Oreochromis niloticus: one gene and its partners. The protein of the gene in region 3 purifies or fractionates together with the protein of the main gene of each other region. This does not show direct contact. Links are inferred from orthologs where the notes say so. Each region holds a gene or a part of one and is shown on either strand. Other genes may lie near its edges.

The links.
Region 1: the proteins of hsp90 co-chaperone Cdc37 (region 3) and ikbkg purify together in Homo sapiens (affinity purification with mass spectrometry; 7 studies listed by BioGRID and IntAct, with this or other methods). This does not show direct contact. The link is inferred for Oreochromis niloticus from reciprocal best matches to the Homo sapiens genes CDC37 and IKBKG.
Region 2: the proteins of hsp90 co-chaperone Cdc37 (region 3) and fkbp5 purify together in Homo sapiens (affinity purification with mass spectrometry; 5 studies listed by BioGRID and IntAct, with this or other methods). This does not show direct contact. The link is inferred for Oreochromis niloticus from reciprocal best matches to the Homo sapiens genes CDC37 and FKBP5.
Region 4: the proteins of hsp90 co-chaperone Cdc37 (region 3) and map3k7 purify together in Homo sapiens (affinity purification with mass spectrometry; 6 studies listed by BioGRID and IntAct, with this or other methods). This does not show direct contact. The link is inferred for Oreochromis niloticus from reciprocal best matches to the Homo sapiens genes CDC37 and MAP3K7.

What each region holds. Positions count from the first base shown.
Region 1 is NC_031984.2:33,182,196-33,189,852, forward strand, and holds the start of ikbkg (NF-kappa-B essential modulator), read left to right. Parts: upstream 1-4,641; 5' UTR 4,642-4,709; intron 4,710-4,969; exon of another isoform or gene 4,970-5,321; 5' UTR 5,322-5,368; intron 5,369-5,917; 5' UTR 5,918-5,919; coding exon 5,920-6,058; intron 6,059-7,657. UniProt on the Homo sapiens protein: Regulatory subunit of the IKK core complex which phosphorylates inhibitors of NF-kappa-B thus leading to the dissociation of the inhibitor/NF-kappa-B complex and ultimately the degradation of the inhibitor.
Region 2 is NC_031970.2:16,195,753-16,203,595, forward strand, and holds the start of fkbp5 (peptidyl-prolyl cis-trans isomerase FKBP5), read left to right. Parts: upstream 1-4,825; 5' UTR 4,826-5,113; intron 5,114-7,843. UniProt on the Homo sapiens protein: Immunophilin protein with PPIase and co-chaperone activities. Component of unligated steroid receptors heterocomplexes through interaction with heat-shock protein 90 (HSP90).
Region 3 is NC_031969.2:24,153,387-24,160,941, reverse strand, and holds the start of hsp90 co-chaperone Cdc37, read right to left. Parts: upstream 3,017-7,555; 5' UTR 2,783-3,016; coding exon 2,675-2,782; intron 2,467-2,674; coding exon 2,185-2,466; intron 1,275-2,184; coding exon 1,172-1,274; intron 1,085-1,171; coding exon 969-1,084; intron 869-968; coding exon 746-868; intron 1-745. Other genes in the region: cmc4 (cx9C motif-containing protein 4), read right to left, coding at 7,486-7,555. UniProt on the Homo sapiens protein: Co-chaperone that binds to numerous kinases and promotes their interaction with the Hsp90 complex, resulting in stabilization and promotion of their activity. Inhibits HSP90AA1 ATPase activity.
Region 4 is NC_031980.2:29,212,190-29,219,015, forward strand, and holds the start of map3k7 (mitogen-activated protein kinase kinase kinase 7), read right to left. Parts: upstream 3,003-6,826; 5' UTR 2,741-3,002; intron 2,674-2,740; exon of another isoform or gene 2,370-2,673; intron 2,243-2,369; 5' UTR 2,216-2,242; coding exon 2,123-2,215; intron 2,005-2,122; coding exon 1,894-2,004; intron 1,816-1,893; coding exon 1,750-1,815; intron 1,671-1,749; coding exon 1,625-1,670; intron 1-1,624. UniProt on the Homo sapiens protein: Serine/threonine kinase which acts as an essential component of the MAP kinase signal transduction pathway. Plays an important role in the cascades of cellular responses evoked by changes in the environment.

The DNA of each region.
Region 1 (7,657 bases), on a different chromosome or scaffold from region 3:
TATTTTATTGCACAGACCTTTTCAATAAATTCAATAAATAGATGTAAAAACTGAAGCATATAGTATCCAAACTGATTATGGAAAGGGATAAATCCTAACATAAACCCACTGTATTATGAAAAAGAAAACCATATTAGTAGTGACCAAAGCCTCATCTTGGAATTGTTGGATTATTCAAATGCAATTGAAACCAAGAAATGTATTTTGTTTTACGGCCTTTTACTGACTTGATACAAGTGAGTCCTGATTTCTTTTATAGTCCTTCAAGGTGACAAAGTCGTATGTTTTAGAAAGATATTAATAGTTTGATTATAATTCAATTTAGGATATACCCCAAATATCTAACCAGTTTTTGTCACCGTCATCGAAGTATTGTCCGTTAGTACTAATGGTACCAATATTAAAAGTTAATATTTGTATATATGGCACTGTTATGTCACTTAGCTGTAACCAGGGCTGGACTGGGACAAAAAATCGGCCGGGCATTTTGACTAGAGACTGGCCCACCAGGATAGAGATTGAAAATGTGACGTCATTCAGGGGTAAAACCGCAAAGGATTCTGGGAACTTGTGGCAAGAGGTACTAGCGCACGCAGGCTTTCAATTGAACTCAGTTACACAGCGATAAAAAGAAACCCAAAAAATGGCAAGAAGCTGTTGTATTATTAACTGCAATAACCGGTCGCATGACAGCCAAGGGAAGCCGACGGGTAAAGAGATCGGGGTTTTTTTTATCGGATGTCGTTGAAGAGAAATTTTTTAAGCCATGTTTCCGAAGTAAGCAGTGGCGTGTCTAGAAAATTTTTGTTGGGGGGGCCAGGTAGGGGCACAGATTTGGAGAAGGGTGGCAGATGTAATTGGCAGATAATGTTAAAAAAAAAAATCTACCAACCGTTAACCATCATTCAATAACCCTGTAAACCTAATAACTGAATTTGCTTTTGACTCTTATTAGAATGAGGTTTTAACCACTACGGTGCAAAGTTTTTAGATACTGCGTTGATGAAGTACAAGAGATACAATCAGTGCTTTGTCAGTGTTTACTCAGCATTCAAGGACAGCAATATTTGCGTAGTATTTTTACTGACATATAGGGCACATATGTTTTGGGCAAAAACATTTTTGAATATTAAAATACAAACATTTTTAACATACAATTGCCAAATTAGCCAATGCAAAACTTTATCTGCCTATTAAAAAAAGAAGATGATCTTCTTACAAACTGGTGTTTGATTTTGAAACAGGGAAAAAGTGGGGTAACAAATGAAAAGACTAACATTTGAATGAAACCTGAAAGCAAGTAAATACTTTCTATGCCGCCTTATGGTAAACTTTGGTAATACTGATGTATAAAGAACAACACTGGCTGATGATGAAATACAGCTGGCATGGTGACACTGCCAGTATTAACCTGCAGGGCTGGACTGGGACAAAAAATTGGGCATTTTGACTACAGACCGGCCCACCAGGTATTAAAGCCTTTGAATGAAAACAAACGCTGTTGTGACAGTGATGTACACTGTCTTGTTGGTATATGTATGATTTCTATCAATTTTACGTCAGATAAAAACTTTGTTCGCAAGATTCAGATAATTATTTAATAAAAGCTAGATATTTTAAATGAGAATAAGTAAGAAAAGTATTTCTTTGTGCCCCCCTTTCCCTGTTAATGCCCTACCTGGCCCCCTGGCATAACTTTGCTAGACCCGCCCCTGCACAGTTACCAGCTGTCAGCTACGTAGAAAAGGATCCTGGTGTTATTTGTCTCTCAGAAACAGTTCATAACTTCCCTTCAACTCATCCATGTCACCTAAAAGGTAAACCTGTTTCTCCATCACCTGTTCAGCTCTGATGATTCAGTAAGGACATCTCCTGGTTTCATCTTCATGTTTCCCTCTCACCACATATCCAAACCGACATCATGACCAGCAGCTTTACAGCTGTGGCTCCAGCAAACATCAGCTGATACTAGAAATTAATATTAAATAAATTCTAACAACAGCTGATCAAGCTTAAACGTGCTGCTGTTGTTTAGCGCGACATCCACTGGTTTCCTCTTTCTGGCGCAAAGTGGGCGATAAACAAACAAAAAAGAAAACCCGATCAGCTGATCATTGATCAGTTTCATGATTGAAGTAGCAACAGGAGAGGGAGGGGGAGAGAATGAGAGAAGAGGAGGCAGCTGTGCAGCAAAGACACAGAATAACTCCAGCTTTGTGTCTTTTTCATTCTAGCTGAAGTTCGGGACAAACTGCGTCTCTTCTCAGCTCAATACAAAACCTGTAATATTGTCTCTGAATGAGGGACCATTTCATTTTTAAGGAGCCGTTGGCAACTCTACTAACTAACCTTATGAATAAAATAAAGTTCACCATCAGTAACATCACAGCATCCACCCAGCTGTATAGAAACTCCATCATGCTAGCTAGTACGCAGTAAGAGTTATTGTAACTGACTGTAAAAAGTCAGCACAACGAAAATAAACTCCACCTAAACTTGGTTTATATCTGACCCAGATAGACTCCAGGTCATAACTTCTTACCTGAAGTTCAGTTCACTTGACAATTGGACTGGCGGCTGCCTCGGGTCTCTCCTCCTCCTGGCTCCCCTTTCCCTCATCCACCTGCTAGCCGCCGTGGAAGCTCCGCCATGCTCGATGGCCAGTCCAGCTATGTTAAACTGTTAATCTTTCGCCGAAAAACTGTTTTCTGTGGTGCTGTCTTTCGTGCTTGGTTCTCCTACCTTTGCTAACATGATGCTCATAGCGCAGAAGCCGATGCTGTATTCTCTTACACTCGGATATCTGAGCTTCACTGTAAAAACATAATCGTACATTTGATATTTCATTGGATTTTATTGTTTTGGCTTCGGGGTGGCCAGTCTGGTTGGGGGGGTGGCCTGTGCCCCCCCAGGCCACCCCGCTGGACACGCCACAGGAAGTAAGAGCCAACGGATGGTCTGGATATACCAAATATAACATCTCAGAACACTCCAGCTCACATGTTAGTCTGCTCCAAGCATTCCCACAAAGGTCAGTGTTTTGTAGTAGTTAATACGTCATTTTTCTTAACATAATTGGTGATATAGGTTACAAGCAAGTCTGGCGCTGAACAGAAATTGTCGCGCTATGCTTCTTTATTTATTGTGCATAAATAGTGAATTGTCCTGACACAATATTGCGTTTCGCTTCTGTTATTACCATGACAAAAACATATACTTTTATTCACAGGATAAAACAGTTGTTTTGTATCACTAATTGTCCAGTGCAATTACAACATACAATATTATTGTCACTGCTACATTTCTGTAATGCGTACCAGAAATTATTTCCACTACTAATTAATTACCGTTGAGCTCAAAGGTTATATTAATAAACGGTTAACGATTGTGTATTTATGAAGACGATTTGTGAGACTGGTAAGCTTACCTTTGTTTGTACGATGGTCTTTTGTTCTACACAGTGCATTTCAAGGTCCTGTACCCATCCGTCGGTAAACTGTACCTGAGCTTGTTGCAGTGACCTGAAGTTACTAAAAACTTCAGGAGTGTATGCACTCACTCCAAGAACCTTATAATTATAAATCTGAGCGTGGTAAAAGTTGGGCAGCACGCTAACGTCCTTTGTCCACTCTGTGTGCTCATAAGGGTCTGACCCTTTCACTCCTTTGATTTTTTCCTCATATCTTTTCTTTGCCTTTTCGTCGAGTCTGTCTTTGTACGGACCGGCATTGTTCTCCTTAGTTTTGTACATTCCTTTTTTGTGCGGCAAAGAAAAACCAAGAAGATATTGGAACCGGAGAATGAACGTTTTGCGGTGCTGCAAAAGCTTGCATTTGATGCGTACTTGGATTGTTTTGCCACGAGTTCCCGGCATGCAATGCGCGAAAGTCACGTGATCTGTCAATCGCCTTTGCATGAAAACAACTGCTTTGATGTACACTGCCTTGTTGGTATATATGTATCAATCTAATAAACTTAAACCTACACCATCCTCCCTATTCTGGATTTTAAACAGTACATAGCGGAAACAAAAAGACTGCTTGGTCGAGTTAACCTCCTGAACTATCTACAACACATGGTAGAAACCTTAAATTAAGATCAAGAACACTAGAGGTGAGACATGATCATTAATTAATATTAAAATTAATAAATGACAGATTTAGTGATATTTTCATAAACACCTCCTTTCCTTTTTTTGTTCTCCATTTTCTTTAGTTCGTCTATAAGATTGCTAAACAAGGGGGAGGGTGCATCCGGCCTCCTCGGCTGTAATTGGTCCAGCCCAGAGTCGATCATGACCAATTGGCCAATCCAACACCTTTCATTATATATACCCTTCCTAAAAAAAAAAAATAAAAAAAAAAATCCATCGGCCCATAAAATCAAAAAATCGCCAGCGGCCCACCGGGCAAATGCCCGGTATGCCCGATGGCCAGTCCAGCTATGGCTGTAACTATTGTGTCTCTGTGTAATTTAGGCATGAAATCAGCAAAATCGATAAAACTGGTCATTTAAGATTTAAGCATGTTAGCTCTTTTAAAGCTTTAAGCCAGTGAGTGACAGTGATTTCAGGCTGGTGCCAAGACAGTGCAGTACATTTAACATTTGAGTTGACTGATTTTATTGGTCTGAGACTTTTAAGTCAGCACCTCATTGCTAGACTGACACAGAAAACCACGTGACTGACCTGACACATTCAATTTTAGCATGTAAGTCAATAAATCAATTATAAAAAGGATAATTTATTGTTCTAAATCCATTTCATGATGGTTTCTGTCAGATAAAATGCTGACATTTTGTAAAAGAAACCACATTTTTGTTTTAGTTAACAGCCCAGTTTATGTTAATGTTTTAGATATAATGGGTAATCCATTTCAGTTAAAATGGGTCACCATTTGAGTTGAGTTTCAGAAGATGTTCTATTAATTCTAATAAATAATGGGATGTGAAACATTTCAAACTAGCAAGACTTAGGGGTTGACAGCCTGAAAGACTTAACTCAGGGTGAAATTTTCCCTCTTATTTCCTGAGCTAACAACACTCGCTTCAGCTTTAACAGATAGCTCAGCCCATGTTAAATACGTTCAGTCCGTTGGAATAATATTACAAACCAGGTACAATATCTTTCTGAAGACAGACAGCTCGTTAATGTAGTTCTAGTTTAATGTCAGTCAACAAGTGCCTAAGATTACTTTGTTGCCTTTTTGGTTTGTTATCCTAGCTAGCCCATTAGCTAAGTCGCTAGCTGTTTAGCGCCAGCTCCCTGACGCTGGTTTAATTACGTTAAATACCCTTACTAACAATTTGTATGTGACTGACAGCTGTGTTGTCTGATACTCTACGCGACTGGAGTGAAAAAGGAGATTGGGTAAGTAAAGTTTCCCATAGTAATACAGCTACATTACCTATCAGATGGGCTTAGTACGGGGGGCATGTTTGATACTGTTTGTTTTTTTTGGGGGAGAAAATAACAAGTTTATAACGTTACCTATAACACAGCTGGTGCGATCTGGTGCTTTTGGCTAAAATTGGCGACTGGCGTTTATACTTTAATTAATCTAGATTTGTGTCGAGTCCATTGCTTCGGTAGTGCAGATGACGTAATGTTTTCCTCCATTCCTGTACGTGAGCTCAAAAATCACTTGCATTTTATCGGTGACTCATGACACAGACGTCTATCGTCAGGTCAGATACCCATCACACACACAAGCTGGACTTGGATTTAAACGTTGTATTAAAGTGAAAATGAAAGTTTGCAGCCTGGGCCGCCTAAATGGCGCTGAGGCCTGGTCTGCCATGTGTCATGTGATGAAGAATGCCGGGAAGGTCATCGGCATATTGATGTTCAATATTAATAACGCTTTAATTAAACAAGAAATGTGTGTATATGTGGTGTAATGTTGATGTTTTTCTGCAGTGATGGTGCAGCCACAACCCGATGGCCCCATGCAGTGGGAGATGTCCGGAGAAGAGAGTGGAGCGACCCTCAGGGTCCCACCAGAGCTTGCAGCCAATGAAGTGGTGACCAGATTGTTAAGTGACAACCAGCAGCTTAGAGGTAAGCGTGTTCACACGAAAAAAAAGGTCACTTAAAAGAATATTGCTGTACTGAGTGATGAGCTCAAACAGCAGACTCAGAAAGAAGAAGGAAGAAAGAAGCAAATCTTGTCCCTTAAAAACCATTTTAGAAGCATATTTGTGTGGTTCATCATTTTAAAGGATTTATCTACATTAACTCTTGAATTCAGTGGTCACTGGGACATACAAACTTTATGCAGAGATAACAAATACTTCAAAGGTTACCGACTTTGCTCCAGGAAGCTTTTTTCCCCCCTAGAAGTTCTGTTTCTATCAGCGTCTTTGCTCTTAAAGTGTCACATCTCATTCTTACAATGTCTCTGGTGTTAGTCACATTTGTATGGTAAGGTGAAGACCCTACAGCATAATAGAGGGAAAACCCCAAAGAGCAGACAATCCCCTATGAGCAAGTATCTGATGATGGTGGTAAGGCAGAACTATCATTTAACAGGAAGAGTCGTCCGATTTGTACATTTGTAAAAACCTCAATCTATTTTCAGATTTCCTAGTGTAATAAAATCTACAGATGTGTGTGCAGATATTAATGGCTGAAAAATAGACAGTTCATGAGTTAGAGATATACTTGTGCCGCTGTAGATGTAAATATCTGTGAGAATGCTTGTCTCTAACTACAGGTCATTTACACACTTGTACACTCATTTCCAGGTCTCAGTTTGCAAGCAAATGTTACTAAAGATTTACCAATTCCTTTATTCACATTTACAAATTAGTAAGCATTTATGGAGACCTAATGATGCATGCAACGAATAAAATAGAACAATTCTTCACACCTGTTTGCAAGGGTTTTGACTACAACAGATACCTCACAAAGCAGCAGGATCCCCCTTTACCTACACCACAAATACAGACAGAAAAGCATAAGCTAGATCAGCAGAAACATGGAGGCGTTTCATTTGCATCACTCAAAGTGTTTGCTGGACACTGGTCACAGTGTCCAGGTGATATTACACCACCATACACACCTTGTGAGTCACAGCACTTTAACTGTGTCCAGTATAAAGTATCGGTATGCTTTCTCTCTCAATATAAGTGCACAAAAAACTACTTTATTAATTTAAGTAATGTGGTGTGTTTACTGGGTACACATTACTGTTTCAAAGGAACATTTAAACAAAGTATTTTTAGTCATTCACTGTTGAGTTTATAGAGTGTAAAGAGGAAGATTTCTATATTCAGTTATACAGCAAACTCTATCTGAAGTTAACTAGAATTAGCTGGCGTTAACCTCTATGTGCTGCAGCTCATGTAAATTACTTCAACTGAGAAATGTTTTTACTGCTAATAAAGTTGAACATTTATTTTGTCAACATTTGTATAATGGTAAACATGACTAACATACACAGTAGCGTAACAGAGGAAGGCAAGGAAAGAGTCAGCAAACTCAGTCTGTATCATTATTTAAACTCTATGCTCATGTTGACATGAGCTACTGTTGTTAGTCAGTTAGGAAAGGGTGTAATAAAAATAAAAGTCATATCTGATTGCATTTCCAAGAACTGAGCAAGAGTTTGTAAAAGTATAATTAGATTTGATGTGGCAGTAGAACAGTGTTTCAGTT
Region 2 (7,843 bases), on a different chromosome or scaffold from region 3:
ATGAAGTTATTGTAAAGTATTAGTCATCCACTAAATAATTTCCCTCCTGACCTGATTAGAGCCCAGTTCAGTTAAAAAAAAAAAGTTTAAAGTAATGATACCCCCGCTCCACAGACTGAGCTTGTTCAATGAAGGTAAAATGCAGAAAAGACCACAGAGCGTTGTTATTGGAGGAAATCTCTCATGTGTCATAAACAGATATATTCAGCTGCCATTTTATTAGGTACACATAGCTTAAAAGTACACTCTGTCCTAACTGTCAGTGAAACATCCTTTCATAAAGCAAATAAGGGAAGTTTTGACTCTGTGTTATGATTAATTTGAATGTCGCAGCTGGTTTTATAATACTGATAGGTGTTTCTATCACTTTGTTCATTGAGATCAACAAAATGAAATGCAGAAACCAATTTGGGATTTTTAACATAAAAAAATAAAATAAAATAAAGTCTCCTTTACAGTTGCGTTCTGTTTGAGATTTAAATTCGATATTTCCTGTGGTAGTCTACTTAGAAAAGATCTGATGTATATATATAAAAAAAAAGTCTTCAGCTGATTTGAAATGATTTCAAAAATGTTTCATTTTCTCCAGGACTCCAAACAAGCTATTAAGCTCCCGTTTTTCTTTTAACTCAAAAACAAAAAGAAGTTAATATCTTTCAGGACAGTTATACAAAGTGATAAATGTCAAACATAACATAAAACACACCAAAACTGAACTATGCTGACAATAAAACACAACCTTTTAAGGTTTGTGTTGACATGATGAAAATAGTACTGCTGTTATTCATTTATTTGGGGCCCTTGGCAGACACAACAGTAAAGAACTCCTGCTTCGAGGGGGGGGCAAAAGTTCAGGGATAAAAGGGATCACTCGGGAGATTACTCCCCTGTACATAACACGGATGCCTAGAACACAAACAAAGAGCATTATGTTGCTCAGCCTGTAGCTGCAGAGCGCATGTTTGTGTGACAGCAAGTGCTTCTTTAACCTCGCCCTCACATTTGCCTTTTGCTTCACCAAATGAAGCATTAAGCTGCCTTTGTTTTTCCGTGCATATATTCCCCCGCTGCCATAGGGTTCTCCTTGTAGCTATTTAAATGAATCATCTCTTTTTTCAAGCATCCACTCAGCACAGTGTTTTTCAATCAGATTAGTACAGCACATTCTGTTCTGTTTCACTTCCTGATGACTGTGCAGCCCGTATCCCTGAATGAACTCACCCGCGTGCTTCTGGTTACACCAAGATACTCATTCAGACAGACGGATTCTTGCAACTGCCTGTCAGATTTTTGTACTTTACACAGTATTTAGCAAAATCTGTTAAGCACCTATCAGCTTTGCTGTTTACTGTTTTGTTTTAGCAAAGATTAAATGACTTTCTGATGCAAAGTGATAGGTAAGTAGCAGTAAGAAGGCCACTAAGTTCTAAAAATAAGTTACAGCTGCATCTATGTCCCCATTATATTTATATAAAACAGCCACAGACCATTGATGTAACCTTTGACCATCTAATTTTCATTTTCTTCTTCTTCTTTTTTTGTCTCTCGCCTGCCTGGGTGCTTTCACCAGAACAGAAACAAGATGTTCTTGATGTTTCAGGAAGGAAAACAACATCTCAAGCCATGTGTCACTATACATATCTATTCATGCATCTCAGTTCAGCCCAAGCCTGTTTAGGTCATTTTGACCTCCAGTTAAGCATTACAGTGTAGGGAAAAAGAAGAGAGACAAAGCAACCAGGACACCACAGTTCACGAATTTTGGTAAAACAAACAAACCAACCTTTGCCTGTGCAGGAGTTAACCGTCCTGACATGGTGTTTTATCTTAAATAATCAGTACTTTTATTTTAAAGGTTTCATGCGGGCACTGAGACATAGTGAGGTTGTGTTTTTACATCACACGACCACATCTTTCTGTTTCTGTGCTGTTTTTTTCCTCCTTTAAATGTGAATAACATGTTCTAAAACACATGTGTGTGAAAGCTACTTTCTTCCGATAACCAGATGCTCAGAAGATTACTCACCCCAGCTGACAATATCCCTGTTGCGTTTGCAGAGTCAGGTTCACTTGTGTTATGTCACCTATATAATTAACAGGATCATCATGTTCCCTCTCAATAGCAGCTTGTTGTCTGCCAGCAGTGTGGTCAGACAGTATCCTTACCACCTATAATGGTGGGATTCATCATCTAGAGAGACGAGGCTCTTTGAGCATCTCGGTTCTATAAAGAAAAGTTTTCCTCTCGCTGTCTGACATGAACAAAGTTTGGTTAACTTCTCGTTAATGATTCAGTCATGACATTAATTCGAGGCATATTTTATAGTTTTTAATGCAATAAATGTGATAAACATAGACACAAGAAGCAGCCATAAAGCGTGTCATATTTTCAGCACTGTTTATTGACATATTAATGCCAACATCCTCAACTGCAAAAGCACAAAAGCAAGGCCATAAAAATATTTTATTGCTATGGATTTTAGCTTCTCTTATCTCCAAAGTAAATGTGTCAGTAAAAAAAAAAAGGTTCATCTTAGGGATGTGAAAGAGAAAACATATTAACTATGAATGTGATAATAAGCAAACACTTGCTTTAATCAAATCAGGGAATATAAAAAGCCTAGAAAGGAGATAAAGGCAGGGCTGTTTGAACACAAGATTTCGTCAGCATGCAGAGTGTGAGTCTGGGGTTTCCACATGATGAGAGTTTTCTGCCTCCTTACAGGCTGTTTAGGAGTCGTGGTCAAAATATACTCAAACACATGCCCTTTGGAGAAGAACATGACCACTGTGAAAAGTTTGATTGCAACATAAATCAACTCCTGCTGGGTTTTTATATATATATATATCATCCTGATAATATTTTGAAATATTATATTAAAATACTTGGTGTTGTGTCTCTCATGTTCATCTCTTTTGGTGTGTGTTTAGTACTTCACTACTATTTTGACTTCTTGTATATTTCAGGTGAAAACTGTCTCTTCCTGATAACTGCGGTCTTTGTTGACCAGAACAAAATTTGACTTGCAAAGCATCCTTCATAAAATGCAATGCATTTCATGCTCACCTGAAGCAGGTTGGCTACTTTAACTTGTTATGTAACATATTGCTTCACAGTGAGCACTTTAGGTGTGTGTTAGATGTGACACTTTTTTCTAATCCTGTTAATATGGAATACATAATGAATCAAAATGACTTCAGTAACTAAAAGACATTTACAATTTTGAATATTTATTATTTTATTCTTCATGTGGATTTCCAGGTTAAAAAGCACCTCCCAAATTATAATGTGTTTATAGTGCCCCATTACATATAGTAACACTTAGACAAGGGTATTTTTTTTTAGGTTTTTACTTTAATTAAACTTTGAAGACTTTAAGAAGAACTGTACTTCACAGTAAGTAATTTTCATTTTGTAATTTACTCAGATACAGTAGCAATTATTGGACTACAGTAATGGGTTAGACAGGTTTAACATACAGGTGCTCCAGTGAGCATCCACATCAGAGTAAAATACTGACAAAATATGAAAACTATTGTATCGGGAGGTTAATGATTAATTGATGATTAATAATGATTTATAGGATGAGACAGGATTAGGCATATTCACCATCTGTTCTTGGTTTATTACATTGACTTATCATTCAGCACTTTGTCAGGGACTGCCCTTATGTTCCCTCACAATGAGTACTTCTACTTTTAATAATGACTTGTATTTTTTTTATCACAGTGCATATAGCCTATATTTATAGGAACTTATAGTTCCCAAAATTTGACTTGCAAAACAAGAGTTAATAGAATATGATGCACATTACTAGAATACCATAATACTAGAATCACACACAGCACCATCTGAACCGTGTTTATACATTTAAATGGACGCCTAACACAGGACTTTTCACTCTAAGTACATCAATATGTGTTTGTACTTTAATAAGATTTAAATAAAGAAAATGTCTTAAGTTACTGGTTTGACAGCAAAACAGCTGTCGCCAAGATTTTACTTGCAAAGTTAGTAAAACAAAAGCTAACACCTTGCAGTGAGAATAGAGAATTAGTATGTAACATGAGGAGCATACACAGAAAATCATCTTTTATATTTGACTTTATTTTTATATCTAACTTGGTTGAGTGGTATTTTTTCCAACTAGTAAAAGATCTTCATACTTTGCTGCAAAGCCGTAAACACCACAATAATGTAAACACAGACTGTTTGGGAAAAGATGACAAATGATCTCCGCCCAGTAAAAATGCCAAAATGGAAAAATACCACCAGGAATTAATAAAAGAAACAGTAGTAAAAAATAACATGCATGCGCTTTTGTTGAAGTCCTTACCCTGAAATAAGTTACAGAAAACTGTCCTTTAAGCCATAAAAGTCTCCGATAAGCAAAGACGCTACTTCCCCCCCCTTTTCTTTGTAAGTCTACAGAAACAGTGCGCTAATCCGTATCACCGCGCGTCTTATCGGGCAGTGAGGTGTGCTTTTACTTCGGTGATTACACATCCTCATCTGTGTCTGCAGGCGGGCTGTTACACAGTACTGTTGATGATACGTGTTGTCAGCTGAGCGGGGAGGACAGCCTGCTGCGGTACAGGCTGTTCCCGGCCTGGCTGTCTCGGCACGGAACGGGTTACAGGTCAGGGTGTCTATTGGAACACAGTGTTCTCATCAGCAGCGGCAGCGGTACAGCTACAGTACAGCCGGAACATTGTGTTACTTTGTGGCTGCTTTCCAAGACCTGCCCTTAATTTTACTCTAAACGTCCTCCCACAACTCTACCCCCCCCCCCCCTCTCTCTCTCTTTTCTTTCTCTGTGTGCTTCTCTGCCTCACTACCTCCCCGGTGTCATTTTGAAGTCTGAGCTCCATGTGGCTACTACTACACCGGCAGGTTTATCGTCACCGGCGAGGACGGAGATTAAAGTAAAGAGGGAGGGAAGGAGGGATAACTAGACTGAAAGAGCGCTGCTTAATAACCACATGGGCAGAACATTTAGTACCATGGATATGAGATGAGAAGGGCGGGCTTGAATTAGGTGAAAGAGACGCGCTTTTCCAATTTACCGACCGACTCGCTGAAGAAATTGTTATTATCGGATCACAAGAACATGTAAGTGATTTAATTTACTCCTCTTTATTCTGCTGCTGACAGACTTAATTAAGGAGCTAATTAAGGCATATTCATGCCTGGCTGAGTTAAACTGACACTTGTGATACATCGTGAAGATTTAGCTTCATTGTATTTAAAGACTGCTTTTTAGAAGCACACGCACACACACACACACACGCACACACATATACAAAAAGAGAGAAAAATCAAAACGTATCTCAGAATTGATGCCGAATTTTTCACACGCATGAGGTTACAGCTATATCCCACTGTGCGCTGGAAAATAAAGGCTGATAAGGCACTGCGCGCGCGCGCGCGTGTGTTTGTGGTGGGTGGTGGGGGTTAATAGGTGAAAGTATGTGTGTGTGTATGTGTGTGTGTGTAAATGTGGCACTTAGCTGCGGGTCCCTGTGGAAAGGAAGGATGAGGACAACAGTTTATATCTAGACTACGTGTAAGCCTAGGTGTACCTACATAAATTACAGGTTGTGTAACTGTTTCTGAGAATTACACCAGCAACTCTGGCGCTCGAGCATTTATTCTGGAGCACTTGAACATTACAGGATATGATGGTGGCCCCTTGAATAACTTCAAATACACGGGCGTCCCTGCATGGGTAGTTAGATTTGAAGCACAAGCAGCACAAGCAAGTCGCCCTGTAAAACAGAGGCTGAGGCGACATCCCAGAGATGAATCAAACTGCCTCAAGGTAGATACGGAATATAGATAAACTGGTTGTTGTTTTTAAAAGCACTGAAGGATATGATATGTTATTTAAAGAAAACGGGGGGAGGGGGGTTCTCTGTTACCTTTTAACAAAAACAATCTATTTTTAAGATTCGCAGTGTCAAATTTCACGTCAAACCTAATTTTTGACTTTTTCAAAAAGTCAACTCCTGTCGCTTTTTAAACTCTGCAAAGGGTTGTTGGGTGAAAGGGGAAAAAAAATCCCGTATGTCAAACAGTGCTTTGGTTCAGGATGTCTGTTTGCCATGCACATTGTGTACTCACACGTTCACATATTAATCAGCAGACTACGGATATGAGGCAGAACGTACAGATAGGCTGAAGTGTGTGTGTGTCTTTGTCTTAATATGCTCTGTTCCTGCATTCCTCTGCAAAGTAGCTGTACATTTAGTCTACATGCCATCATCTCTGTGCTGTCACTCTTTGCACACTGTTCCTCTTTACATTGTTTAATAGTTGGATATTTATCATAAAGAAAAAGCAAAAGCTAAAAGGGTCAAATTGATAGAACACACAACATTTACTTGAAATGATGCTAATGTATGTCTGCATTCACCTACTTGTTTTACCCTGTTTAAATCATATGTTAATCTAATTGTAAATATAGGTTCTGTTTGACTAGTTTAAATCACCTTGTTTTGGTTTAAAAATTGAAACTGGGCTGTACGTGAAGGGGTCTCAGATTGGTGAACACCGTCAGGCTTTGCCAGCGGGGGAACTGTGAATAGAAGGAACATTGTGTACAGACACACAAATGCACACACACATGCACGAGTTACATCTAAAACCAAATCCATCAGATATCAAAGACACAAGACAAGATGCTGCTAATGAGGGATGGACACTTTGTGCTCAGTGCACAAACACTTTGAGGGGAGACACAAGGCTGAAGAACCAGAACAAACAGTGCAAATGTCAGTAATACAGATCTTTATGGTTTCACCCTGTGGTTTGAGGCGCCCGGGTTGCGCCATAGTTTACGTTTCCTAAGATCTCATTTAGTATGAGGTCAATTTCTTTATCGGCATTCAGTACACTGGACATGTTGCTTATTGATGAGACTCAGACCAAGTGCTGTTGCTTAATGTTAGTCTTTGCAGGCTCTTTGTCGCCACAGCAGAACATAACGTAAGACAGGGCGACTGATGGAAAAATCCAGAAAACTGATGCAGGGTAGGCGAGCTGCTGCTCCTCTCCAGTAAAACAACATGCCGCCCGAAGAATGGTTATTGCCTCAAATGAAGTCTGTGGAAATTTTAGAACTGTTGTCTGATCAGCAGCTGTGTCCTTGTCACGTTACTCTGAATGGACACTAACACTTTTTATTTTGACTATTTGAAACAGTCTGTCCTGAGAGCCCTACCTAAACTTGAGCTAGAAACGTGGTGCAATGTGAGAAGATTTCTGCTTGTGACATCACTGAGATAATCTCGTATCTTTAACATCTCTGCTTAAAAAACACAGACGATACAAAGATTGCCTTTATATAAAATCCCCTTTCTCACGGCTTCCCAGCATACAGTCAGCAATTTAATCATCAAACACCAAAGCAGTTGAAGTCAAAGATTTTCTTTATTTGCTCATTCTAAAATGAATGTGTTTACATTTGCTTGTCAGTGGGAAAAATATAAATTTCAAATATATTGCGCAATACGTTATTGTGCTGCTCAAAGATTCGCTGCTCTGTAGAAGGCTTATTTGAAAATAAATAAATAAAGGAAAGACCTTAATTATGTTCAGATGAAGTATAACTCTAAGAGTCCAAACTGGCTTGATACCAAGAGGCCATTTTAGCTCAAAATGGTATACTTCTACATATACGGTAAAAACATTTTAAAGGAAGCCTTTTACAAAGGAGATCCAGCACTGTGGTGCAGCCTGGGCAAAGAAGACCACCGTAACAAACTTTCTCCCCCCACATACCCTCATAAAAATCAGTTTGCCACTGCATTAATTGGTTTACTTGATCACCCATTAAACAAT
Region 3 (7,555 bases):
GAAAACTCTGAATCAAGATGAACAGAATCAACCTAAATCCATCCCTGTGTAAAACAAACTGGCTTTAGTGAACAGTGAATACCTAACCTAGGCAAAGATAAACTAAAGCTAGGCATCTGAGAACTTGCATTTTTCTGCCAAGTCTTTTTGGATATGTGGTATATGTGGTAGTGACCATTGCCAGGTAAATCTCCAGTAAAGTGTAACCAAACTTTTTAACCTTAACTTCTCTAAGCTCCTGCCATAAGAACAGGAGCTTGGTTTGCATGCCACTGCAAAGTGTGGAAGAAAGAGCTCTCAGCCTGACTGGCCAACAAACTCAGAAAGACAAATAAAACAGACGTGGTGAGGTAAAACGTTCACGGAAACATTTATGCAAATAGGAAACCGTTTTCTTAAGTACCTTGGAACCAAACCATGCCAATGCCATCATCTTTAATAATTTAGCCTTGAGCTCAATTTAATACCAGGTCTCTGAACTCCACCCCATATTTAGGTCACTGAATAAGTTATAAGGTCCAAATCCAAATTGCAGTGCCTGTACTGATTCTCCTAAACCTTGACTCTGACATTTACTTTCCATACAATAATAATTAAAAAGACTAAAACTAATAGAAGCTAAACTAAAACTAAACATTTTCAAACAACAAAAACTAAACCAAATCAATAAATCACACTCTGGAAACTTTTTCAAAAGTTATACTATAGCTACCAAGTTAAATAAAAGCAACAAAAACATAGTTACTTTAATCTTTGCAAAAAACTGGCGAAAGCATCCACGGGGGTCAACTTTGAGGCTTTTGGCAAGCTCCAGAATGAACTGCATGACGATGGTCTGATGAGCCACTTGCTCCATCAATGCGTGTTTCTGCACAAGGAAGAAGCATTTTTACAGCTTAATATTTAGATGCAGTATGGTCACGTGCAGAAGGAATTCATGACAAACAAGCTCTGTTTGTATTACTTACCTCCTCAACTTCAAGGTCGATGCACATGATAACCAGGTAGTTGGCAGTCTCTTCGCATACCAGATGAGGATGGTCAGAGAGGTACTTCTGGCTGTCATCCCAACGCCGCAACATGCCTGCAGTAACGAGAGTAATGAAGAAGCATCTCTACTCTCACCAGTACCTTATAACGAGAGTAAATAATGATGCATGCGAGTGCTTACCGAAATGTTTGATCTCTTTCTCATATTTCTCCACAAATGTTTTGTGCTTTTGCTCCTTCTCTTCTTCGGTCTCTTCAGTTTCAGGTTTGACATTAACAATACTCTATGAAAAGAACAGTGGAAGAATGGACTCATTAAAGACAATGTCTCTGAGTTCTACAGAAAGAATGTCATTGCATACAAGTTAGAGATGTTAATATTAATGAACCCATACCTGAAAATTGCAAGAAAAGATTTCATTGTGTTACAAAGTCAAAGACTGACAGTAGATGTAGACTTCTGCATTGAATCTACACTGTAGGTATGTCGTAACAACAACAGTTGTATTGGCTTGTTCAGTACTGTCAATTCCTCCTCTGCATTTCTGGCTACTTTTTTTTTAATACTTGCTGAATCTATCAGGTAATTAACACTACGCACAAGCATGAATGCTGGCGAGAGTATTGGATCCTTGTGGAGGTTGCTTTGTAGGATCTGCAAAGACTCAACACAGAACTCTAAATCAACTGTAAATGTTGAAACAGAAAAGTCGACTCTGTATGTGTGCCCTTTCCTATTTCCCTCAGTCTAACGTCTACTCTTAAGTAACTGGTGATACTTCCAGCTTTGAGCCAAGGATCAGTGCAGGTGATGGCAGCTGAAGCCACATCTGAAGTACCATGTCCTTTCACACATTTTATTCTAAGGCAGGACAGATGGGCACAGTGGTATAGGAGTAGAATGGATGATAAAGCAAGGTGAACAAGGTGTTGAACTTTTGAGGGGATCTAATGGCTCTGTTGTGGGGGACATGTGGTGATCATGTTTTTGGCCAATTTTTCCCTTGGATGTCAGGCTCAAACAAACAATTGCACAAGTTAAAAGAAGAAATACGGAGAAAAGACACAACAGTTTTGTTAGCTTTTGTTTTCCTGAAAATACTTGACAAAAAAAAAAAGAAAAAAAAGAGTGTAATAAATGATGTGCGATGTAAAACCTGTAGTGCTTTTTAAGCTCCACTTACTCTACCTCACCTTGCTGAACCCATCCTTGCTGAGCGTGTCTACATTCCATGGCATCTTCTTCTCCTCCCGTTGGTAGTCTCCCACCTTTCTCTCCCAATCCCGTTCCTCTTTTTTCAGTTTCTTCTCCTCAGCCTGAACTTTGCTCAACTCTGCTTTGGCATCTTCTGACGTTGAAATGGTCAGCTCCTTGATTTTCTTCTGTGTGTCTGCCAGCTTGCGTCTGCACTCGGACAGTCCCTTGTTTAGTTCTTCACCTTTCTTCTGAAATTCCTCCATCCGCTCCACACGAGCCTGAGGTCAAAACATAAAATCTTTACTACTTGTTTTTGTCAAATATGGACTTAGTTGCAAAAAGTTAAACATTCCTATATTTATGTTAAAAGTGAACACAGCACCAAAGTAAACACACGAGGTCAGCTAACAGTTCAAGTCAAATATGCACCACTTTTACTTTATGTGTAGCATCTTAATTGTAATCATGCGTGGCTTATTGGTATACCTGGTGTCTCCATCTGAAGAGGCTGGGTGTGTCGATGTTTGGATGGGTGTCATCCTCATCGTCCGACACCTCAATGTGGTCCCACACGCTGTAATCTATCCTGGACATCCTGACACCAAGACCCCAAAGCTAACACCGTTAGCTTACAATAGGCTTCGGCTACGTTCGTGAGCTATGAGAAGCTAACAAGTTTGATTGAAACGAGGACAGACCGCAAAATCGCCGCACTGCGCAGAAATACGTATTTGTTTCTTTAGAAGAGATTCTTGCTGTGTTAGATGTAGACAAACTCAGATGAACCTCCCTGAAGACAGCGGGCTGGAGAGTGCTACAGAATTCTAGAAAGAATTGGAGCTACAGATTTCCGTTTGACGTCATCACGTCATTGCGTCAACAGGACGACGCCGGAAATCGGAACACAAGAGTGCTGTTCCTTTCCCTTCGACTAGATTAAAATAAAATAAAATAAAATAAAATAAAATAAAATAAAATAAATGACTCACTGTAACTTCTCTTCAAAACATCATCGTTTTAAATTTGTCAGAACAAAAATGAAGTGTAAAGGTAAAGAATAATTTTGTATTTATTTAGTCTTAATATGTTATAATACCTTAAAGTATAGAGACTTAAAGAATTTAATTTAAAAGGACTTCAATTAATGAAAAATAGGAACCCCACATCTTCTTCTGATTGCCACAGAGAACCACCTGTCTCCATCTCATCCTATCCCTAACATCATCATCATCCATCTGTGTGTCCTTCTTCACTACATCTATTAAACTTCTATGTAGTCTTCCTCTTTCCTTCCTGCCCACTAGGTCCATCTTCAGCATTCCGTGTCCTCTATATCATTATTCCTCCTCTAAACATGTCCATCTATTTTCACCTTCATCTATTGTAAGTACTGCAGTTCTGCACATCACCCTCACTCTTGAATATCGTGAAGGTAAACAATCTGGGTAAAAAGTCCACTGCTCATCTCCAACAGGTATAGAGAAACCATCTATACCAGCCACTTTTCACTCTTTATCCTCTCTACACCTACCCTCACTTTCTCCTTACTAATCCCTTGCACTTCCCGATTCACCAACTGTCCTCCTGTCCTTCATGCATCCTCCCTCACCCACTCATTTTTCACATTAATCAGCTCCTCAAAGTACTCCTTCCACCTTCCAAGCCCTCTTTACTCGTTAGTACATTTCTGTCTCTATCCTTAATCACCCTGAACTGCTGCACATCCTTTCAAGGTCGAGGGCTCTGCCTAGCTGATAGAACAAGTCTTTTTCTCCTTTCTCAATGTCCATTCTCACGTGCATCTCACTATAAGCCTTTTCCTTTGCTGTAGACCTTGCTTACCGGTACTCATGTCTACATTCTTTATTTCCCTTACTATCCCACCTTGTCTTTGCTAACTTCTTCCTTTGAATGCTTTCCTGTATTTTTTCATTCCAACACTAAGTATGAAATATATTCTTGTCAGTTTCCCTCACCACTACAGCTGTACTTTCCCAGTCATCTGATGACTCTTCACTATTACCCAGAGCTGGCCTCAACTCTTCCCTGAACTCTGCACAGCATTCTTCCTTCCTCAACCTCCACCATTCAGTGATTATCTCTGCCTTCAACTGCTTCCTCTTTTTGATGTCCAAACTCATCTTACAGACTACCATCTAATACTGCCCAGTTACATTCTCCCCTGAAACCACTGAGCAGGCTCCTGTCTCTTTCAGATTACACCTTCTACATGTTTGTTTGCTCCATTCTTATGCCACCCTCTTCTCGACCCACTACCATCAGTGCTTTCACATTTCTTTCCTTAACCCAAAACCTCTGATCAACTTTTAACCTACATATCCACTGAACGCTGCTTCAGTCACCACTCTCCATCACTTCATCCAACTTAATCCAGGATTCCTCTTTCTTTTCTAACTGGCATCCAACCTGTTGAACATATGAACTGAAAACATTCAACATCGCTAGATCAAAAGATCCAAAGCCTGCTTTTCTTGATTTTTTTCTTTTCTTATTTTGTATATAGCAGTTTGTGTATCTTGCAAAACCACAACTTTGGATATGTCTTTGGCTATACATTCGATTGGTCTGAATGTATAAACCTTTGTCAACACTCTTTACTTTTACATGTATAATTCTATTAAAGCTATAGGTTAAGAGACTAAAGCTTAAAGCCTTAAAAAATAAATTTCTCCACAGTGATTCACTTGCATTTGTACGTCAAGAACAGCAAGCAGACATTAATCACAATTACAGCACAGATGTCATTTCTTAAATTCTAGATATAAGATATAAAGACACCTGCTAAAATGGCTCAAAGGGTGGTGGAAATTATGTGAGAGGCACAGGAGGAAGAATAAGATGAAGAACACACATTTTTGTGCACGAATTGATAACCCATATGAGAAGAAACAGCAGAAGTGTGAAGTAGGTGATTTAATTTTCTCACAATTTTGTACTCATTAAAGTGTTTCACATTTTCCCAGACTACAGCTTTATATGGTTTCTAATTTTTTTTTATAATTCTGTTAGATGAGAATAAAACGAAACTGGTTTCTCAGCAGATCCTCTGTTGCCACAATGATGACTTGGTAAATAAAAGGGAAGCTGAGGAGTGGATGGCAGTATGTGTGTGACTTGAGTTACATGTTTTGAAAGCTGTTTACATTTTACGTCCTAGGTGTATTGTGCAATGTACCATGTGTGGTATGATTATTCTGAATGGTTCCCTGTGTGATCTGACAACACTGTGTGGTTTTGAGAACTTGCAAAACTTGATGTGTTAGTAAGATTTGACAGAAGTTGTGTGAATTTACTTGTTTAGAGTTTTGACAAAAGGGTGCAAGGTTTCAAAGTGTAAAATGAGCCTGAGCAACCGTTTACAGCTGCTCAAGATGGCAATGACTCCCATTAAGAGAATGTGGAGCTGTACCGGGACTTCCAAAGTCATCAGTCAGCCATCATGTACTAAGGAAATCCTTAACAATGTAGTTTGTCTGGGTCTAACAGGTACAACCAGGGTGTCAGTGCTAAAATAATCCAAGGCCTGGATTCACAAATATTCAGACCACGCCTAAAAAATATTAGGCATAAGTTACATCTTCAGAGACATTTAGGTACATTTATCCTATACACTGTGTGCACATTTGCACTTGCACTTTAAAAACAGAGGGTAAAATAAGATGCATAGCTAAAAATAAAAGGTTAAGGGTATATTTAAAATGTTACAGTAAGAGGGAGTCCCGTATAATAATAACCTATACACTCCATAGTGTAGAGTTTTACACGTTCACCCAACAAGCAAAAGGTCCCTGTTTCAACCCATCTGATGTTGTGTCAAGAAGGGCCTGACAAATCAGAAATCTGGTGCTACTCGCTGTAATGACCCCTTGCAAATATGGGGGCAGCTGGGCCACCTTTAAAAGTACACAACAAATTCAAGAACAAACAACCAACTTTAAACCACAAGAATATCCACCACAAACTACACAAGCCGAAAAAATGACCTTTGTTTTGTTCCAGAGAGTCATATGGGGCTCTTCCCATTGTTCGACTTGCACAGGCCCATTCGCTCCAAAAATCAGTGTCCCCACTACTGAGATTACTTCGTAGTCACTAAGCTACTATTAATCAAATAAGTAACATGAGCTTGTTTTTTACTGTAATAGCTTAATAGTGATTTAGGTGTCTTTTTCAAGACCAAACTGAAGGATTTAATTTTACTAAAATTGTTCTTCTTTTTGCTTCTTTCTTTATGAGTTGCTAAAACTATGCCAGTAGAATTCAGCTGAGGGGGTGCACTGACCTTTTTGGATGGGCCTGGACCCCTGGGGCCCATCCATAACACCAGGGACTAAAAGTTTTAAGTCACTGAGGAGGTGTGGCTGACCCAGTTCTGTTGGAAGCATTCCTCTAAAACCGGGATGTGAAACATAAGGCCCGAGGGCCCGAATCGACCCAGCAGAATGGAAGGTGAAAACAACACACCTAGGAATAAAATGTACCCAGGACATTATGTAGTTCTAATTACTCTTATGTAGTCACTAAGGTTGTTTAATTAACTGAAAGCCACAAATCTACCTGAGTATTACTAAATTCACACCTCCACTTTTACCTGCTTCCATCAAGAAAATGTTTGACACATCTTAAATTTTTATGACTTTCTTGTCCTAATCATTGCATGAGTGGTGAATGATGCTCCTAAGTTTAAAAAGTATAACCCAATAGTTTCATTCAAAGTGCAAATATTTTATTTCTTCACCAGAAGGAAAAAAAAAACTGTTAGAGCCTTATCCTTGTGTACCCAGCTAGCATTAAACTTTGTCTTTCTGCCATGTTCTCCTCTACACCCCTAACAGTTTTCCACTGTAGGGTGTTCGCTGTAGGCTGAGATGTATGTTGTATGAATAACAATTTAGTCTCGATTTCCAGGGAAATTCTTATTTAAAAAAATCTTTCTCATTACTAATTAGACTAAAACTCCTTGCCACACACATACTTGAAATTTCATACTAGGCACGAGAAATACATTGGGTGTGGACAGAACGACACCATAATATTTAAATACATTAGACAGCTTGCATTGTTCAGCTTTGCCAGAGAGGTGTGCCATTTAGTCCCAGGGGAATGAGTGTTTATGAGGCAATCTGCAATATCAAAATGTCTGCTGTGAGAAAACCCTATTTAAATTTAACAAACGGATGGTAGCAGACAGACAAATAAATATGCAACAACTCCACTGTCATGTTATACTGATACAATGCAGAATTATCACTTGCGGGAATAGATGCCGCATGGAACTATTCGCTACTTTTGCTCTCTGCGGGTTTTGAGTCTTTGAACCCGGAGCAGCAAATGGAGTTTCCCGCA
Region 4 (6,826 bases), on a different chromosome or scaffold from region 3:
AGGAAAAACTCACTTTACACTTCATTTTGTACAAATTTATTCCACGAAACTAATTTCAAAATCATCTTCACACAGAAATTTTTACACAATCATCTCCACCATGATGCCGTTGGTGTAAACATATTTCTATCATTACAACAATTGCCAGCCAAAGTCGGAGACCAGGAATTCCATTTGCGCACAAACACACGCGAGTAATAATATCGTCAAGAACAACAGGACTTTTCAATAGTTCTCAGCGTTTGTTATCTTTGCAATGTCCCACAAAACTATGTCCAAAAATGTAGTTTATGAAACAGTTTTATAAGCAAACCACTAAGAACAGCAAACTACTTTGTCCCAAAACCTCATCCAAGCAAACCTGATGGCCACGAGGGGAAAACTCCCAACTCACTGAAGTGTGACCTAGCAATTCAGCGAAATTTGCCCCCATAACAATTCTGGCAAATTGTAAGTACAACTGAGCGCAGAATATTTTATGAACATGATACAAATTAGTACTAACAGTGCCCTCCATAATGTTTAAGACACAAGTTTTTGAAGTTTTGTCTCTGAACGCTACCCACAATGAATTATAAATCAAACAGTCGAGCCTGAAGTGGAAACATTTTTAATTCAATTTTTTTTAAACAAAAAAATGGCTTCACTCTTGAGTTATCACATTCACAACATTTTCAAAAACTTGACCATTCACTTGAGGTCACCGAGATTTAAATTCGTCCCCCTTTTTCAGAGGTTCAAAATTTTCGAGACAACTAACTGATGAGTAGTTTCCTGGCCAGGTGAGGGCTGCTCCCCTCTTATTTCACGATATTTCATTTCTGAAGTGTTGAATTTGCTTTTCATGGTTTTTCACTGTATGAAAGTTAGGGGAAAAGAGATTTCGCAAGAAAGGGAAGAAAGAGAGGCCATTATTAGGCGTAAAAATTCAAATAAACCTGCCCCTATCGGACATCCAATAATTCCAGACTCTGCTGCTACATGATAACAAATTGCTTATAAAAGCACTCAGGGTAAACATAAGAAACAACAAGCCTAGACATACATGGGATAATAATGGTCGGCAAGACAGAAGCTCCTGCAGATTAATGCACTCCATTATGTGTTTTATCATCTGCATGGCAACAAGAGTGCCTATCAGCTGGTTCCCGATACTCCGGGAGGCGCATATATATATGTATGTGATATGTCTTTGTAACTTTTGAACTAAATATACAGTTTGATATTTACATTTGACAAAGTCTTTTAACTTATTTGAAAATGAGGCTGTAAGAAATATATGTATGCGATTTATTTGCAGAAGGTTTAAATACTCAATTTTCATTCTTACTGAAAATGTTAATTTAACTGTCTTAACTGTATGCACACAAATGATTTTTATACTGATCAATTTTATACCCCACCAGTTCTCAGGTCTATCTGAATATTTAGTGTAGGGGCTGCATGTCGCTGTGCAAACACGGACTTCTAACGAATCAGAAAAGTGGCTGAACATGCAAACAACTGGAGGATCAACTCAACAGGGCTGTGTCTGTCCAAAGCCGTGTTCATTACTAGCAAAGCAAAATAAATGGTATAACATGTAACACAACCATACTGTTTTCTAGTAAACATATTGACTCACCATTATATAATGATCCACCTTCTGCATATTCCATCACAAGGCAAACCTGAGGTGGAAAGAACACCATCAAAAACTCAAAATCAACCAAATAGACCAAATAGTCATTGTGATCCCAGTGAACTTACTGGATTATTGCAAGAGCCATACAGCTTCACAATGTTGGGGTGATTCACACGTGAAAGTTGTCGGAGCTGGAGATGAAAAGGAAAGGTTACACACAGGTAGGCTGTTGAAATAATCTTGAGAATATTTCAGTAACGAAAAAATACCTCAACAATAAAGGCTTTCCTCTCTGATTCACTCTCAATAGTCTTGATTGCAACATCTTTTCCTTTCCACTTGGCTTTGCAGACGACCCCAAAAGCTCCTCTCCCCACCACCTGAGAACAGGTAGTTAGCATCAAAGTTACACTCACTAGGTAAGAGCTTCATCGAGCTGATACTAACTCTTGTCATGCGCTAGTGACAAGGAAAACAGCAAAAATAATCACAAATTACCTCCTCAACTTCAATATCCTCATAATTGATTTCTTCAAAGGGATACCCAGGTGGTGTTTCAAGCATATCCGCTGGTGGTAACGATAGAGACATTACTAGCTTAGGTCAGCTAGTAACTTACTATGAAAACGAGCAAACAACACACAGGTAAAAAGCTCAATATTAATAAATATTAAATAAATCAGCACAGGGATACTTAGATAGGTTTCAAGACATCAATTGCAATTACGCAGTCGTATTTCTTTACCGTAACTGCGTAATTAAGACTGATGCCGTCAGGAGACATGGCTACTCAATAAAACAAACACGTTAAAGCCTTCAAAAATGGCAAATTGTCATTCCTTCGCCAGCTGTCAAGCACCGAAAAACGGATCGGCGTTAGCCTCCTGTCAGTTTCCTTGATGCAGTCAAGGCTAACCGCATAGCATAACTAGCTCAGTTCTGCAACTGCTACGAAAAACTACTGGTGAAAAGAAGTGTTTAAAGTTAGCTTTTTGCATAATTAAAGATCTGGGACGACAGAATAAGACCACACCATTCCTCACCAGAGTCTGACATTGTCACAACACAACCTTAAAAAAGACAAGCAATTCGAGGCCTGTTAAAATAGCAGCTTACGTTAGCTGGCTGGCCCGGTTGCTAGCTACCAGGACTTTCTTAGCTTCAACAATCCAACTCTTCGTAGATGACTTGTCACCACTGCCGGTTATGTGGACATGGGGAGATTTTCTACTATTCATGTAAGAATAAAACTGGAATAACGTCCATTTTTATAAAAACTCTTTTGTCTATCCACTTGACAAACAAGCATAACTTTTTGACAACTTGTGTAGCTGGCTTGCTAGGAATGTATTTTGATTCTTCGCAGGGGAGGGGGGTAGCTCCACCAGGAAGCGTGTGCGTATTGTAATTCTGTCCCCTGAAAACCAAAAAAGGTAGGGAAGCGTAATACATTAGCTTCAGAAAATGAAGCTATTTTTTTTCGTGAATTACTGACACAGTTAGTTCGGATATAACACACAAAGAAAAAGTAAGAAATTTGTGTTTGTGTGGAATATTTCTTTGTTGTAAAGATGTTTCTAGAACAATAAGTCCTAAACTAGGTCTCAGGACAAAGACAGTTGTTTGGTTGTTTAGTTTGTTTGAAAATGGATATTTAAAGGATTATTTCAGTTATATTTTCCGATACTTAATATTGTAAATAAAAATGTTGAAGCAGTAAAAATACTTTTATGCCATTTTACAGATTAGAACTTAAATTTACTTCCAAGATAACATATATTTTGTATTTGTATTTAGTGTAAGGTACCAGCAATCAATCTAAAAAAAAAAAAAGAAGAAGAATCTAAATACGTTTTCATTAAAAATGTGGCTTGCACATGTCATCGATCTTGCATGAAAGCAAAAAATTCTGTTTATCTAAGCAGAATATTGACCCAACATCTGCACAATCTTTTATTTTTAGGGCTGGCAGAATATAAGATTAAATACATCTTATTTTCTTACATTTACCTGCTGTGATCCAGGGCAGCTTTTCTCACTAGTTTGTCCAGTCTCCTTGCATCCTTGTTACTCATGCTGCCTCCCCAGCAGACTGCAGCATAGAACAGCACAATTGCCATCATAGACTGAAAGATCTTTAACATTTTACTTGTGATCAAGAGATTTTAGTTTTCTTAACAAAAAGAGGTAACTTTGCCCCTTTTTGTATAGGTTGGTATTTGGGGACCAGTTTAGATTGTTATCTAGGTATAATCTAGATATTTATATTTTGTTACCATCTCTATGTCCACCCCACAAACTTTCACAGGCTGAAGAGGGGGTCTGGGATTCTTGAGAAATCTACTCTCATTTCCTTTGTCTTATAGTTGTTCAATATGAGGTAGTTTTTGTGACTCCAGTCACTGAAGGCTTTTACAATATTCCTATATTAAGATTCTGGTCTATTCCTGATACATGCTACAATGGCAGTGTTGTCCAAGCATTTCTATTTCTGCTGCATACAATGAAAAGGAATTGAGCCACTCCACTGTCAAGTCCCCGTGCTGCTGATTAATGTCCTAGAAACACAGTTCCCCAACCTGACTAACTGTGGCCTTTCTGTCAGGTAGTTTGCCATCCAGGAAACAAAGGAGGAATCATGGTGAGCTTTTCTTTGAGTATATTTGATTGAATGGTATTGAAACCACTTGAAAAATCAAAGAACAAAACTCTCATATAAGGGCCAGATTCCGCCAGATGAGCTAGGGCTCGGTGACACATGTAAAGGATAGTCTCGGTGTAAAATAATTTGTTCCAAGATCTTCATGATGTGCCATGTAAGGGCCATTGGTCTGTAGTCGTTCAGTTCAGGTGGACACGTTATTTTTGGTATTGACACAGAACAGGATGTTTTCCACCGTGTTGGCACCCACTCCATCTGTAGATTCAGGTTGAAGATCCCGTGGAGAGGTTGACACAGTTGGACACCACAGTCCTTAAGCAGCCTTGGACACAGCAACCTTCCCAGAGCATAGTCTTCCTACTGTAACTCCAATCTCACCCTTGTTTCTGTGACAGACAAGGGTGAAGGCACGGGTGTGACAGGGGAAGTAGCTGCCACATAAGAGATGCAATGAGACAGGGGAGATGTGGTAGAGAAGCACACTTGCAACAAATACTGGTTAAAGAATGGAATACCATCCCACAGCAGTGCGTGACCAAGCTGGTGGCCAGCATGAGGAGGTGCCAGGCTGTTGTAGCTGTATATTGTTCTTCCATTTGCCACTGAGGCTCCTGTTTGTTAAATGAATAAATTATTCAATTGTTAATATGTCTTGTGTCACACTTCAATCATTTAATCCATTACACAACACCAAATCCACATATTCAACTCTGCTGCTCAATTCAAAAATTCAGCTTCGTGGTAAGCATTCCTGTGGTATCTATTTCACAACGCCATATCACCTTGTTCTCAAGTTAATGCATTCACAAGATTTGCGTAAAATTTAACCTCTGACCTTGAGGTCAAGGTCACTGAGAGTCAAACTCGTCCAGGATTTTTAGTAAATGCACCTACGGTATCAATTTGAAGCTTCTGCATTGGCTCATTCTCAAGTTTTCCAGTTGTCCATGCTGCCTGCCCAACCAGGTGCCAACTATAATGAATACAGAATATTTATTCAACATTTTGTTAAATAATCCTGTTTGTTCAGCATATGTAAAGAATCAAACTAGATGGCAAGAAAGTCTTTTTTATTCTTGTAATCATGAATTGTTTTTAATCCGAAAGTAAGATATATTACTATTAGGTCATCAACTGCATGCATAACGCAATATACAATGCATAATATATACAGTTCCTTAACAACCAATGAAAAAAATATATACATTTCTGACTTTTCATTTTACAGTTTTTGAGTTTGTGCTTTCTGTATGTAGTGAATGTCAGTCTTTTTTCTCATTCAGGGGTGGTGCAAGGTCATTGAGTCACAGTGAAAAAAATATCACTTTGGGCCCCACCACTTTAATATCACAAACCATGCAAGCCCTAAAAATACATATTCTGCTTAGATAAATAGAATTTTTGATTTCATGGAGGATTGATGAGATGTGCAAGCCATTTTTTTTTACATTTTAAATTTTTTAATGAAAAGGTTATTAGATTACTTTTTCTTTTTTACACTGATTGGTACCTTACACTTAATACAAATACAAATCACAAATATGTTAACTTTAACATAATTAACAAATTTATTTATAATATTAAGTATTGGAAAATATAACTGAAAGAATCCTTTTCAAACAAAGTATAGCCAACTAAAATCTCTTTGTCCTGAGACTTAGTTGACTCAAATAGGTTTGAACCTGATTCAGCTTACTGAAAGCTCTCACCATGTTCATAGGCAGTGTGCACAATATTCACTTCAATTCAATTCAGTTTGAATTCAGTTTTATCAAATATCACAACAACAGTTGCCCCAAGGCGCTTCATATGCAGAGCTAGAAACACTTCTAAAAAACTGCTCTGTTTGTGGGTTTAATGATAATCTATTATTATTACAATTAGATAAGTTTTGATATAAAAGAACTCACCTACTTCTTCAAATATCAGTGGGGCTTAATGTCAGGGGAGATGGGATTGGGAGAGCCTGAGCCAGAGGTCTGATCTGTTTGCCTAGGAGCAGGTCGTCAGATAAGTGACTTGAGGCCCTTTTACATGGAATGCTGAATTAGAATAGTTGATATGTTGGGCAAATTAACACAAACACTTTGTTTTGTTAGAAGTGAAGTAAGCTAACTAATAAAGTCAAGCAGTTTCATTCATATGGACTTGGCTATGAGTTTAATTTCCACCTGTCTCTCTTTTCCTTTTTGATACTCAGACTTTTCATTTCATGGAGCCCTCTCATCTGTTTGTTTTATGGTCAAGCAGAGTGACCAGTCTGTGTCTTGTGTTGTTGCTGGTCCGTGAGCCAGCCATGGAGGAGAGCAAAGTTATAACATGCACAGAGCTGTAGTGAAACTGAGTGTTAAAAACAATGAAAAGCCTCACTGCAGCCACTGTCTGTGCTTTTGATGCTTTATTTTTTGATCTTTGGTGTTTTTTCACTGTTCCATCTTTCCCAGAGAACTCCATTATTGCTCCTTGTGGCTACTTATCAACCAATCAACATTAGGCAATTGCATACGTCATCCGCTTCCAGCAACGTGCAGTTAGGATCT